Linked DNA regions of Mus musculus: region 2 is reported to be linked to region 1. The links are microRNA targets in miRTarBase. Many come from high-throughput screens and were not tested one by one. Region 1 holds a microRNA gene; the other region holds the end of a gene's coding sequence.
Evidence for each region. The annotated mature microRNA mmu-miR-363-5p reads CAGGUGGAACACGAUGCAAUUU and lies in region 1 at 2,523-2,544, opposite strand. An mRNA with a match to its seed (bases 2 to 7 or 8) in the 3' UTR can be bound and repressed. Matches are read on the target gene's strand: a 7mer-m8 pairs with bases 2 to 8, a 7mer-A1 pairs with bases 2 to 7 and ends in A, and an 8mer does both.

Region 1 (7,340 bases):
ACAGTTACCTTCTGGATACGTGCCACCTTAAGTACCAGTGGACTACCAATGGCAATACACTTGTATTAAAGCAGACCCCTAGTAGTACTAAAGATTATAACAAATAAGCTTTAATCCCCACTTTTTAAATCTACTTTATTAGAAGGGAAGGAGGTCTTTGCTACCACATCAAACTTAACTACAATTAGGCACCAATAAAATACTAAGTCATAGCACAGGAAGTATCTCATTATTTTGTTTCTGTAATTACTTCAAACATTAGTGACTTAAGAAAATCCTACATACTTAATAGAGAATTTACTAGCCTCCATCTCTTTTCATTAAGATTTCATGTCATCACAGCAGTTAAAATCCATGTTCTTGACCACTCTTCACCTCCCAAGGAGAACAGAAGCCCCACCTCACTGGTGTAGGACCAATGTTATCACTGTATTTTCCCTAATGAAATGGAAGCTTAGGGAACTAGCTCAAAGGTGAAGTATAATTCAGTAAAAAAATTCTAACTAAATTGAACCTATGTAATGAGGTCCCCAAAAAGTAATAAAAGGCTTTCAAAGTTGGGAAATTCCAAGGCACAAAGAATGACACATAGTGATACCTCTCCCTTCTGATGAGAACTCAATGTTCAGATAGGTAAAACCAACACATACCTACCTAGTTTTTCCACTTACCAAAGACAGGGCAGTGTTAACATTAACACATGAAACAGAATGAGAAAGTGGGGTAAAAAATGTGCCTGAGTCCTTTCAACTTTATGAATTTGAAACTTAAAATAGAACCGGGCGTTTTTTTTTTTTTAACCTATAGTTCTTTGGGCGAGCACCATCAGCACCTGAGACTGGGTTACAAAGGCAAATCCTGAGGGCTCACCTGATGACAGTCACTCTCTGGAGATGGGACTGGCAGGGTTTTCAGTAGTGATAAAACCAAAGACTCAACGCAAACTTAAATTCCAGTTATATTCAAATGTTCCTTCAAGACATACCCTATAAAATTTGTTTTCAGCTCAGTGGGGGAAGGGCACTTGCCATCGGGCCTAAGAAATCTAAGATGTATGTCCATGACCCACATGACTAGCTCCCTACAGTTGTTCTCAAATCACCACATGACACACACACTAAATAAGTAGATAGATAGATAGATAGATAGATAGATAGATAGATAGATAGATAGATAGATAAATGTATGTAAATGCTGGAAGTCTAGGAGTGGAGGGGTGCCTACCTTTAATCTCAGCATTCTAGAAGCAGAAACACACAGATCTCCGCAAGTTCAAGGCTAGCCTAGTTTACAAATTGAGTTCCAAGCTAACCAGAGCTACATACCAAGACGCTATTTTAGAAAAGCCAATAGTATTGCTAATTTAAAAAGAGAGCCATTGCCATATCCAGGGATCCATCCCATAATCAGCTTCCAAACGCTGACACCATTGCATACACTAGCAAGATTTTCCTGAAAGGACCCAGATATAGCTGTCTCTTGTGAGACTATGCTGGGGCCTAGCAAACACAGAAGTGGATGATCACAGTCAGCTATTGGATGGATCACAGGGTCCCCAATGGAGGAGCTAGAGAAAGTACCCAAGGAGCTAAAGGGATCTGCAACCCTATAGGTGGAACAACAATATGAACTAACCAGTACCCCGGAGCTCTTGTCTCTAGCTGCATATGTATCAAAAGATGGCCTAGTCAGCCATCACTGGAAAGAGAGGCCCTTTGGACTTGCAAACTTTATATGCCCCAGTACAGGGGAACGCCAGGGCCAAAAAGGGGGAGTGGGTGGGTAGGGGAGTGGGGGTGGGTGGGTATGGGGGACTTTTGGGATAGCATTGGAAATGTAAACGAGGAAAATACCTAATAAAAAAAAAGAGAGAAAAAAAAGAGAGCCCCAGGCTGGAGAGATGGCTCAGTGGTTAAGAGCACTGACTGCTCTTCCAGCGGTACTGAGTTCAAATCCCAGCAACCACATGGTGGCTCACAACCATCTGGAATGGGGTCTGATGCCACCTTCTGGTGTCTATGGAGACAGCTACAGTGTACTTGTCATATAATAAATAAATAAATAAATAAATAAATAGAATCTTTTAAAAAAGAAAAAAGAAACCCATTTTTTTTCAGACTTATATATCAGCTTTATTTTGCAAATTTCAGGTTTGTTTACATTCAGTGCAATCAAAATGTCAGGATTTCAAATATATTTAAAAATATGTAGTTTTAAAAAATTAGACTCCAAGCTGGGCGTGGTGGCGCACGCCTTTGATCCCAGCACTTGGGAGGCAGAGGCAGGCAGATTTCTGAGTTCGAGGCCACCCTGAGTGAGTTCCAGGACAGCCAGGGCTATACAGAGAAACTCTGTCTTGAAAAACCAAAAAAAAAAAAAAAAAATCCACTCCAAATGTGTTCAAAGCAATGACTAGCTAAAGGATTTTACAATCTTACTATAGCACTGATAGACGGCTGTCCACATAGGTCCTGCGGTTTACAGATGGATACCGTGCAATTTTCCTCCTATTACACCAACCAAAATTGCATCGTGTTCCACCTGATAACAGCAAAACAGTTCATTTCATAATTACAGTCTAACATAACTTACAATACTCAGAAACTAAAAGACGATTAAAAACCCTCTTTCTTCCTCAGGCCGGGACAAGTGCAATACTTTATATCTAACACAAGTAATGCCACCAATCCCCACCTGTGGATGAATGGGCATGGATGCTGAAGATGTGCATAAAGGTGTCCATTACGATGCAGAAAGGTACACATTCCCACAATCAGTTTTGCATGGATTTGCACAGCCATATATTCACATATACGCTGAACTGCAAATCTGCAAAACTAATCGTAAGTAGCAATGTCCTTGCGCTGTAGTTGCTTCAACAAGACCTTGGTTGATCCAGGAGTACTAGAAGTGCTCACACTGCAGTAGAGTGGTATAAAAACTACCTGCACTATGAGCACTTTGGCACTACTAGGATCCGAGCTTGTTCTTCTACACAACTGTATACTACAGTCTCCGCCATCTGTTTCTCGGCGAAACACTGAAAGAGCCTTTGAAACTTGTGCCGTTCAAATCATTTCTCAAGATATGCTTTTCAAATGCAAGGTAAGAAGTAGCCTGTGCGAGAAGGGGCATTTAGGGCAGTAGATTGTAAGCTGCTTCACTAACAGCACTAGATGCACCTTAACACAAGAGACACATTACAAGGAGCAGCTCAAAAACATCCACAATCTAACTATGCAGAAACCAGGGGACTCAGCGGCCTCTGATTAAATCACCATGGTAATGTAAGAAGTGCTGGCACTGCAGTAGAACTCAAAAAGCTACCTGCACTGTTAGCACTTTGACATGGCCAAGGCATACTCCAGGAGTGTAACCTTGAAGTCTTCCACGAACTCTTCTTTGCCAGATCTGCAGACTCACCTGGATAAACACACACACACACACACAGCAAGTAAGTGAACTGTGAGTTACTATTTCTAAAACAAGTTTGCCTTCCGTTAAGAGTGCAAATGGGGTTGTGTTACTTCAAACATTAATAAGCTCAATTATTTACACAGACTTAAACATGAATAACACTGGCAATCTCAGAATGTCTGACTCTTAAGAGTAAGAGGATTTTGGACTCCCTCTCCGTCTAAGGAAATTTGAGATTCGCATCCCAGAAAATTTGCAGAGCTGTAATATCCACCATGGTTTTCTAAGAGGCAAGAGCCCAGGAAAAGATGTAAGCAAAAAAATAAATAAATAACATTAGGGTGAGTACTGACGTCTTGAGCTCATCCAGAGCTTTGGGGAGCCACTCGGAAGGTCTCTATGTTTGATTACATGAAGCATCCCTGCCCCCAGCCCATTAAGAGAAAATGATAGAAATTTCAGAGCCGCTTTAAGAAACAGTTTTACACTCTTCACATACCGCACAGATGGCCTAGAGATGTCACATTTTCATCTATTTCAAAGGGCTCTACTTCTGTTTAAACATTTATGGACCCATTTTCTCCATTAAACCTAAAGAAGTCAGATTAGCTCTTTGGCTTCATGTCATTATCTTCCACAGGAAAAACCTCTCTCATTTCCAAGTGTGTATCTTACCCAGGAAAATGCTGCAGAGGACAGTCTGAGGGGTCACGAGCTCCCTCCCTCCCATGATGGAATGTTTGTGTTGATGGGGGGACACCAATAAACTTCAGGGACACAAAACTTGAAATGTGTTCAATGAGAAAGGATATTTTAAATGTTGGAACTTTTCGAAGCCACTTAGTGACTAAGATAGTTCTTAAAACATTTTAAATATAAATTAGCAAAACTTTTGAAGTAAATATGAAATCTGCTTCCTATAGTGCAAGTATTGGCTTATTATACTTTTCTTCTTGAACTGGGTTCCTACAACTAGAGATTTTTGCCTCCACTAAAAATATATTACAAAACCTGACTCAACTTCGCAAAACCATACCTCAGCCCTCCAGAGAAAGCTCCTTCTAGCTAATACCTTTCTTTAACACATCTGCTCTCCATCATATATACTAGAAAGTCGCTGTACAACTTCTAAAATTGCAAAGAGGACCCAGTCTTTTACCATTTCGGGATTTTCTCTGGTCTATTCCCGCATCTTCAGCAGCGGCTCCAGTAGAGATCTGTGAACCTCCTGGGAACGCAGGGTGTGCTCCAGCCAGTCATGCCACGCGCTTAGGTCTTCAAGACACCTTAGCGGCCACCAAAATTAAACAGAAAGAAACAAAGCATTATGGGAAACGGAGTTCTCCATTCAAAGCCCCCAAAACGCGCCAAGCTTAAGCCTCTCCCTCCATTCTCGGGTTGGTGGGAGGGAAACCAAGGTAGGTCGGGAGTCCTCCCGCCCCACACCCCACGTGCACCCTGGCATTTGACCACCCACAAGTTCTCCAGAAACCTTCAGAGCAACAAGGGAGAGTCCTTTTCTCACGAGTTGCCTGGCACCCCTCAACTACACTCAGGTACTTTGCTTTTCTCAAGTCTTGCCAGCTCCATCCCCTCCCACCTTAGTTAACTCTCTGGGATCACAGCTGCGCCCGCGGAGGTACGCATCTCCTGGTCCAGTCATCCAGAACAAGCGCGTAGGGGATCTGCCAGTGACCCGCCCTGGCAGGTGGCGCGCGCGACCATCCCGCTGCTGTCCTGCCTGCCAGGATCAGGGAACCGCACGCATCTTCCTAGAGCTCCTGGCCCTCTGCTCTCCTAGCTGGTGGAGGAGGGAGGGCGGCGAGGAGCCACGTGCAGGAAACGCGCCCCGGCGGCCCACGCACACCTAACCCCCAAAGTGTCCGCGCAGCACCACTTGTGCACACGAGCCTGTGGCAGCGGTCCGTCACCTCGAGCTGCGTCCCAAAGCCCGATCCCTGGGAAAAGCCCGCCCTTCGCCTTTAATAGCCTAGGGGGGAAAGCCCGCCCCCGCCCACTCGGCCCACACAGGAATTAGGAAATGGAACCCCCACACCGCCCAGGCCAAAGCCCACGGTGCCCCAGTGACACACAGGACCCGCTCCCTCAGCCTTGCCCTTCTGTCCCCAACACCAGAGTCCTTCCTTAATCCAAGCACCCATGGGATGCCAGTCTAAACCAGTGCCACAGTCGCCTGCCCAGAATGGCGCACTCATTACTACCTTGTCCGGTCAGGCTCCTGAAGCGCTTGTCCCATCCCCCTCTGGAGATAGGCTACGAGGCCCAAGCAGTTGTGGGACCCAGGTGTCCCCACGTCCCAACGAGTGCGCGCATGCGCACTACCTCACAGCTAGATTGAAAGTGTCCCGAAAGTCTGTAGGAGAGAAGAAATACATACCCGGCATATCCACTCTGCCCATGTGAAAGTTTTCAGTTCTGGCATGTGAAGCTACTGCTGAAGTTTCACACTTGCTGAACGCCACCTTTACCCTTTAAATCAGTTTCCTAGCAGGCATTATGAATGGTAATGTCCCTTGGGTGCACGCACAGATGCCAATTACCTTGCTTTTCCCCCTTCCACAGCTAAGACTCATTTGAGAGAAGGCTGTTTAAAAGCACATCCCAAGTACAAAACTAAAATTATGATTTAGCGTCAATACAAAATTAAGCATACTAGGAGGTTATGGGGCAAAAAAGGATAACCATACTATACTTTCTCTGCTTTGTTGGAGGGCACGGGTCCAAGAGGATAGATATTTGGTGAGTTAGATGGTGGAAAGAGTGATTGACCAGATAACAAATAAACCTGAAGTTACTGAGCACGCACTATCAGGAGAGGGGACACTGGAAGGGATGAGCTGGGGCTCAGAAACGAAGACAGGTCCCTTACTCCCTAACACTGTTGCCTTGGGTGATTGTGGCAGTTCAAAGCTCAAAAGGGAACAAGAGCACCACGTGAGTTTCAATCTGGTGCACAGTAGGGGTTCAGGCGAGCGGATTACTAAGGACTGAAAGACTCCTAAGACTTGTCTCCTGCTCCCTGGCCAGCGGTGGAGCTCAAGCAGAATTGCAGGCTCAGCTCAGGTCTCAGTGATGCAAAGCACCCTCGTTACTCCAATGTGTGTTACTCCTACAGGTGGGCTGCCTTCCACTTTCAAACACCCGCACAAACAGACCTCCCACCGTATGCCAGAGCATCTGTTTGATGCTTTCTGGAAACTATGCAAGCCCAAATTTAATATCCAATCAGATCTCGCTTGTGAGAGTTGCATGGACTGCAATCCAACTTTGGACCTTTAAAGGTAGCTAGTGATGGAGAGGTGTGGAAACATATCTCAGACCCTCTTTTAAGAGACATTGTATTAAAGCAGGATTTAAAAAAAAAAAAAACCTCAATGAGCTCAAGCAAAACCTGGGGGAGGGTTGTAAAAGTGGCGCGAAGATAATATCACGTGGTCGGACCCCAGGATGTCTCCTTCCCCTTTTGTCACCCCCCCGGGGGGGAGGAGTTGGGGAGTTACATCCGCTTCTCGCAAATTATTAACATAATTAATTGTGCCCTGCAGCTGCAGTGGGAGCGCTGGGAACGAGTAAACACATTCCCTTGAGCATCAGAATGAGAAAACCCATTACCCCGATTTTGGAATATTTTCCCAAAGAAACCTCACTACCAACAGTCACCCGGACTACGCGTCTTGGTTAAGAGACAGAAGAGAGCTGGAAGAGATGAAAATATCCTATGAGATGAGTACAAGTAGATGCAGCCTGCCTAAAATGAAATTAAGAGGATGGTTTCAATGCCGTGGTGAGGGACCCCACTTAAGAATTTCCAAATTTTAACAGTTCATTAAACAAACTATCCTCCCATGGTCTTCCCACCCCCACCCCAGTTTTCAACCCTCTCCACCCCTCCCTTCTAAAGT
Region 2 (7,301 bases), not on the chromosome of region 1:
AGACAGGGTAGTGTGAGGGGGTTTGTGTTGGATCCTGTCAGCCATGATGAGCCTCCTACCCTCCATGCCTCAGAGACTCTAAACCCTGTTCTTTGGGTAGGGGCTCCTGAAGTCTGGCCACTGTGCTGTGTCAATGGACAAAAGGCAGACCTGTAGTTGTACTGGGGTGGGGAGGGAAGAGTCACTCCAGCCTTCAGTCCCCAAGCCCTGCCATGAGCTCATCTCTGAGTGCCCATTCCTCTTCACAGCCCGGGGTGCTGACCTCACCACAGAGGCTGACTCTGGCTACACCCCAATGGATCTCGCAGTGGCCCTGGGATACCGCAAAGGTGGGCTTGGGATGCTGTGGCAAGCTGAGGGGCTGTGGATGGGGTGGCCACAAAGGCTGTACACGGGGTGTTCCCCATGGGTGCTAGATCCTGGTAGGAAACACGGCCCTTAGCACCCAGGTTGCAGCAGGGACACCAGTGCATGACAAGAGAACACTGCCCCAGGGAGACACAGACACTCAGAGACACTCTGGGGGACACAGACACTCAGGCACACTCTGGGGGGACAAAGACACTCAAGAGACACTCTGGGAGCACACAGACACTCAGACACATTCTGGAGGACACAGACACTCAGACACACTCTGGGGGACACAGACACTCGGAGATACAAACAGCACCATCCAGGCCCAGGGTGGGCGTAGTCTTGGTTATCACCTCCACCCACATCCACACATTGTTCCTCTTGGTGGTGGGGTGGGCATCCCAGACTTCCATTCCTGTTGCTGTAACAGAGTACCACAAATGGGGTGTTTGGTTTTTTTTAACATTTTATTTGGACTCATGGTTCTGGAGGCAGAGAGAGCTACAATTCGGAGGGTGGGTGGGATACAGGAGTGAAGGGAGACAGGCAAACCTTGCCTTAAAGCAACCTATTCTCAAGGTAGTGAGCCCAGCCCAGCAAGAACAGAAAAGCAGAAAAGCACTTGGCTGGACAGTTTCCTGCTCACGGCCTCCTGTTTACATCAGAGGCTGAGCATCTTCTTCAGTCCCTTCTTCCCGGCTCCCCCAGCTCACCCCTCCTCCCACCTCCTCCCACAGTGCAACAGGTGATGGAGAGCCACATCCTCAGATTGTTCCAGAGCACCCTGGGGCCTGTGGACCCCGAGTGAAGACAGCCTGCTGGGAACCCAGGCACTCAGGGACAGTCAGCCCACAACTGGCTTGAAAGGCAGCTCCTGGACAGTGGTGGGAAGAGCCCTCCGCAACAGGAACCAATAAATCTGTGCAGAACTTGAAGGTCTTCAGGGTGCCTCCCAGGGGGGCTTCCTGGAAGAATAGCCGCTTCTCACCCTGCCTTCTCACCCAGCACCCGCAGGTGGTAGATGACTACACGGCCAAAAAAGTCGGTGGTGTCCTCAAAAGTCAACTTCAGTCGGTCCACCTCCATTGTGGGGATGGAGAAGGTGTGACTTCTTGCAGTCAAGGAAATGGTGGTTTTATCTCTGACCCATCAGGCCCCACCTTCCCAGTCCAGAGACCACCCGATGGGCCACTGACTAAAGGCTCTTGATTCTCATACCCAGCAAGAAATCAATAGCACCTTTTTTTCTTTTTCTTTTAAATATGGGGGTCTCAGGTAACCCAGGCTGGCCTCAAACTGTAGTTGAGGCTGACCTTGAACTCCTGATCTTCCTGCTGCCCCTCCAGGGCACTAAAGCACAGAGAAGCAGTTCCTACTCCTGCGGAGGAGGTCAAAGCTTTGATTCTTTTGAGACAGGGTCTGGTCCAAGCTGGCCTGGCATTCTGGATCCTCCTGCCCCAGCCTCCCCAGTGCCATTACCACCACACCCAAAGACCTGAAGCTTGTAGAAAACCAGATCCCTCCCACCACAAGACAGGCAGGATATCTGAAGGGCATTGGTGTCCTCAGGGTAGAAATCTACAATCTTGCTGAGTGCCTCCCCACCCCGTGAACCTGCAATGGAGAAATGGGCTAAGAATCCAGGGAACCCTGTGGACACCCCACCTCTCAGCTTTCTTGTACCTTCCAGGCAGCTGTGGCGACTGGAGAAGCCACCCTGGAACTGCACCTGCAGCTGTGTGATCTGAACACACTGGGGAAACTCGAGTGACACCCACTGGGAGGGGCCCTGGAAGCAGAGGGATAAACTGAGGCACTTGGTAACTGCAAGGTTAGGGCCCTATGATGTTCTGTTCATCTTTCTTTCTTTTTTTTTTCCCCAAGACAGGGTTTCTCTGTGTAGCTCTGGCTGTCCTGGAACTCACTTTGTAGACCAGGCTGGCCTCGAACTCAGAGATCCACCTGCCTCTGCCTCCCAAGTGCTGGGATTAAAGGCGTGTGCCACCACTGCCCGCCTTTTTTGTTTGTTTGTTTTTTGTCTGTTCATCTTTCAAGTGTCACTGCCACGGCCAGCACAGGAAGGGTACAAGCACACTGTGCTTTCTAGTCTCCCCAGAGATCTCAAGGCACCCTGTAACCTTGCATCTTCTACACCCCTACACTTGGAATGAAGGGGTATAGAAGCACCTCACCTGGTCAGAGTTCCAGCACGTCTCTTCATCCTGGTCAAAAAGATGTTTCTTTCCAAATTGCCGGCTGTTGCGATTGAGCACAGAACTGACCCTGCAGGACAGGACCAGGTTAGGGGCCTCAACACTTGGACATCCTTGCTGTGAGCCACCCACCAGGCCGGCCGGCCCCACACCCAAGAACTCTGCTACCAACAGCCAGGAACTTAACTACCAGACCGCACCCCCAGCCAGGGAACAGATGCACCAGGCAACACACCACTTAAACCACGGGACTCTACCACCTGGCTCCGCCCCCAGGCTGCTCCAGGTTCCTGATTCTGGACCCCAGCTAGCTGCCATCTGGGCCTCGTCTCCACAACTCAGCTCCCAGTTCTTCCGCCCCCGCGCCCAGATCTACACTGAGTCTCACCTGCTCACAGTGTCCGGACAAACCAAAGACTGAGTCATCACAGTTCTAGGATGACTCGCGGAACGCGAGTTCGAAGCCCGGCGCTGCCACTCCCAACTTGATCTAGCGGCCACACTCCCTACCCCCGGCCACCTCTATATGACAAGGTGGGCGATCTGGGAACCGGAGGAACACTAAAAGCAGCTTTCTAAACCAACCGAGCCCCAGCGGCTCTGCAGATCTACGAACCCGGAACCGCGTGCGGATAGCGCACGCGCAGTGCTACACAGACACTGTTCCGTTCGCGGGGCCGGGGCGGGGTTTATGGCACCTCCCCTTCGCCTCTTAAAGGGCCCTCACACTGAGGTTTCTGGTTCTGTTGAACTACACACCTAGTGGCTACAAAATGTTCCCATGGCCTTCCTGTGATCATGTCTACCTGCAGAAGGCCTTGCTCGCCGTGGATGCAGCTTGGGAGCCCTGCACCCCATTGCCTTCCAAAGAGGCCAAAATAAATGTTGAAGAGGCCGTGCTACTGGGTGCATCAGTCACCCCCAGCCCTTGCGTCCTGCTCCGACCCTAAATCCATCTCCTGCAGGGCTTACGTTTCATGCTAACATGGACAGTAGCAGATCTGCCTAATATATTTTTGAGACAGGGTCTCGTGTAGATTTGGCTGCCCGGAATTTGCCTCGCAGGTAATGGCCGCCTAGACTCCCAGAAATCCTCCTGCCTCTGCCTCCTGAGCCCTGGGATTAAAGGCATGCACCTTCACGCCCCGTATTGGGATTAAAGTATATTTTTTAATTAAAAACACTTTAATGTGTAATGAGTGTTTTGCTTGAGTGTTTGTATACTATACATGTCTGGTAATTGTCCATCCAGAAGAGAACATGGGATCTCCTGTACCACCACTTCCAGTGAGGCTGCTGGAAACCGACTGTAGGTCCTCTGCGAGAACAGGAAGTGCTCTCAAACATTTTCCAGAGTCTACTTTTTGTATTACTTTTATTAATATGTGGAAGTTAGAGCATAACGTGTAGGAGTTAGCTTTCTCCTTTCACCGCATGGGTCCTGGGGATTGCATTTGAGTCATCAGGGTCAGCTACTTTACCAACTGAGCCATCTCCTCAGCTAAGGAGCTCAATAGCAGGCTGCCCAGAAAGTGCAAGGCACTGGGTCCCATCACCAGCGCGAAGGATAAATCAGTCTCTCAGCGAATGCTTTCCTAACATGTTATGGAAGACTTGGTCAAAGAATGGTGTAAGGTGGATTTCAGAGGATGCAGAGGAGTGTGTCCCAGTGGGAGCAAACAAAACCAGACATAGACACCCCAAACATCATGGGTTCAGGGATGAGTCACAGGAACAAAGAGACTGAAGAAGCAGGGAGACTTTCTAAAGGAAGGGCTTTCTGGAAGAGAAAGAGTTCCAGGCCAGGGATTAGCAAAAACATAGAATCAGGTGACACAGACAACAGGTTTGAATGAGAGCTAGGGAGCCACTTCCCACTGGTCTGCAGCAGCTTTGGGGAGAGGGTGGAACCCCAGCCTGCTCTCTGAATGAAGACTCCCAAGACAGAGCAGCCTCTGGGTTGAATGGCCTCTGATCTTTCCTCTTTCTGTGAGCGCCAGAGGGTTCCTTAGCATCCCACCGGTGTCTCCTAAGTCCGCCCCAGGAAGCAGGCCTGGCAGGGTAACTGGGTCACATCAGGAGGGATGCCCTGCCAGCCCAGAAATGCAGGGCCTTCCTTGCCAGGCCATCCAGCTTCAGCCTAGCTGTTTTCCAAGGCCATGCGTCATTAAACGTTTGGCTATGTGTTCTCAGACAAACCTTTGACCTCTGAGCTCAACTTCCTGCCTGTGAAAAGTAGGCCCTTTGGGTTGACGCCCAGTAACAATGACACTTGGGACACTAGGGCTCATAGACAAGTCTGTCTCTAGGCATGGACTCATCACTACCCTGCCAATGGCTGGCTGTGTTACCTCTATGGCACTCAACACAAAAAAGGTGGCTGTGGTGCCTGAAGAGACTGCATAGAATCCCAGCCGCCATCCTTCCTGTATTGCTTCTGGCCCTGGCATGAGGCTGCCTGGCCCCCTGGGACACTGCCAGCTCCCTACTCTCTTCCCGCCTCCTCACCCCACTGGCGCCTGGGCATGAAAGAGCCTCCTGTTTCACCAGGGAATTAGTAGCTCTGAGTTCCCAGTGAAGTAGCCAACATGGTGCATTCATCCCTGAGTCAGGGAGCCTGAGAGCCGCCTCCTTCCCGTCCCCCTCCAAGCCCTGAAGCAGGAGGGTGTCACATGGAGGACTGGGTCTATCTAGCCCATTCCCAACCCTGGACTGTTTTTTTTTTGTTTGTTTTTTTTTTTAGTTCTTTGGGGCTTTTTGGGGTTTTGTTTTGTTTTGTTTGTTTTTGTTTTTGTTTTCAAGACAAGGTCTCTCTCTGTAGCCCTGACTGTCCTGGAGATCACTGTGTGGCCGGTCTCAAACTCACAGAGATCCACCTGTGTCTGCCTTGCAAGTGTTGAGATTAAAGTCATACATCACTACACTTGGCTTTTCTATTTATTTATGTATTTGTTTATTTAATGAGACAGGATTTTCCGTAGCCCAGGATGGCCTCAGATTTACTATGCAGTCAAGAAAATAGTCATAAACTCCCAATCCTCCTCAGGTGGTTGGTGGCACTGTGTATGACTATCCACTATGACCTTGGCTATATTCCTGTACAATTAGAGGGGCACTATCCCTGAGACCTGGTTGTCTAGGAGCTTCCATCCACCCACGTGACCTCTGAGCCACTCTGCTGCCCCCTCACCTCATCTCCTGAAGCTAACTTCAGGGTGCCAGTAACAGACAGGGACTTCCAGGCTGGAGATGGGGACCTTCTAAATCCCAGAGTGGGCCTATAAATAGCTCTTTGAGCCTTGCAGATTCCCAGGCAAGGGTCCCTCACCCCAGGCTGCAGCACCAGCAGGTCTGGGCCCTGGGCCAGTTTCTCTTTTCAGCCTTGGCACCAGCTCAGGAATGGGTTTGGTGAGGCGCCCGAGGGTCAGCTTGGCTCTGGGACCTCAGAGCAGGCCTGTGAATCTCCAAGCAGGGCATCCCATCTCCCTTAGTCTCAGTTTCCTCAGCAAACTCCAAAAGGAACAACAAGATGGTAACCTGCTGGGTGTGATGAAGTATGCCTTGTCCTAGCATTCGGGAGGTTTAGACAGGAGAATCACAAAATCAGGCTCTTCCTCAGGTACTTAGGATGCTGTGTGCTAGCCTAGGCTGGTACTTGGCCTAAAAAAATACAAAAATGGTAAACACATGCTCATGTTGGCTTAAATTTTTTAAAAAGATTTATTTATTTATTTAATGTATGTGAGTACACTGTAGCTGTACAGATTTATTATTTATTTATTTATTTAATGTATGTGAGTACACTATAGCTGTACAGATGGCTGTGAGCCTTCATGTGGTTGTTGGGAATTGAATTTCAGGACCTCTGCTTGCTCCAATCCACCCTGCTCATTCAGGTCAACCCTGTTCGCTGTAATCAACCCCGCTCTCTGCTGAGCCATCTCGCTAGCCCGGCTTAGTTAAAAAAAAAAAAAGATTTATTTATTATTATATGTAAGTACACTGTAGCTGTCTTCAGATACTCCAGAAGAGGGCATCAGATCTCATTACAGATGGTTGCTGGAAATTGAACTTGGGACCTCTGGAAGAGCAATCAGTGCTCTTAACCACTGAGCCATCTCTCCAGCCCCTTAAATTTCTTTAAAGTTACTTTTAATAAGGGTTCTTAAAAGCCAGGCAGTGGTGACACACGTCTTTAATCCCAGCACTTAGGAGGCAGAGACAGGCAGATTTCTGAGTTTGAGGCCAACCTGGTCTACAGAGTGAGTTCCATGACAGCCAGGACTATACAGAGAAGCCATGTCTAGAAAAAAAATGATAATAATAAAATAAGGGTTCTTAAATACTTTAACCTCCCTTCTAGCCCACCACTCACCAGAGGTATGGAAAAGAAAGGTTATTAGGATACTGGGGAAGTGGACCTGTTTAGAAATAGTTCTTTGGAGCAGCTTCCATCTGCTTGTCAGAATGTACACCAGCGGTCCAGTTCAGTAGAGTTGGGATAGCAAACATGAATCAGCAGCGGTGGCACGGCCTAGGAGAGACAACCAGGCCTCAGGCAAGTTGGCATGAGCCAGCAGGAGGGACCAGGACCAGCAGGAACTTAAGGAGAAGTTCTCTGCTGTGTCTTTCTCAATGAAGTGAAGATCAGCAAAGATGAAGACAAGAGACCAATGAGGCGCTGCAAAGCCAGCTATAGAAGCTATGTCTGTTGGGTCCTCTCTACTCCATCCA

Region 2: miRTarBase lists Rfxank as a target of mmu-miR-363-5p. Seed matches in the 3' UTR shown: 7mer-m8 at 1,430-1,436 and 7mer-m8 at 2,312-2,318.

What each region holds. Positions count from the first base shown.
Region 1 is chrX:52,739,218-52,746,557 of GRCm38, forward strand. Mir363 (microRNA 363) reads right to left here and starts at 2,550; the gene lies at 2,476-2,550. Mir92-2 (microRNA 92-2) reads right to left here and starts at 2,711; the gene lies at 2,621-2,711. Mir19b-2 (microRNA 19b-2) reads right to left here and starts at 2,849; the gene lies at 2,766-2,849. Mir20b (microRNA 20b) reads right to left here and starts at 2,975; the gene lies at 2,896-2,975. It also overlaps Mir18b, Mir106a and Kis2.
Region 2 is chr8:70,127,254-70,134,554 of GRCm38, reverse strand. It overlaps Rfxank (regulatory factor X-associated ankyrin-containing protein), which reads left to right. Exons shown (of 9, transcript NM_011266.2): 8 at 249-329; 9 at 1,092-3,749. The coding sequence ends at 1,162. Nr2c2ap (nuclear receptor 2C2-associated protein) reads right to left here and starts at 3,228. Exons shown (of 5, transcript NM_001025586.2): 1 at 2,956-3,228; 2 at 2,547-2,637; 3 at 2,038-2,143; 4 at 1,901-1,968; 5 at 803-1,458. The coding sequence starts at 2,993. The coding sequence ends at 1,339.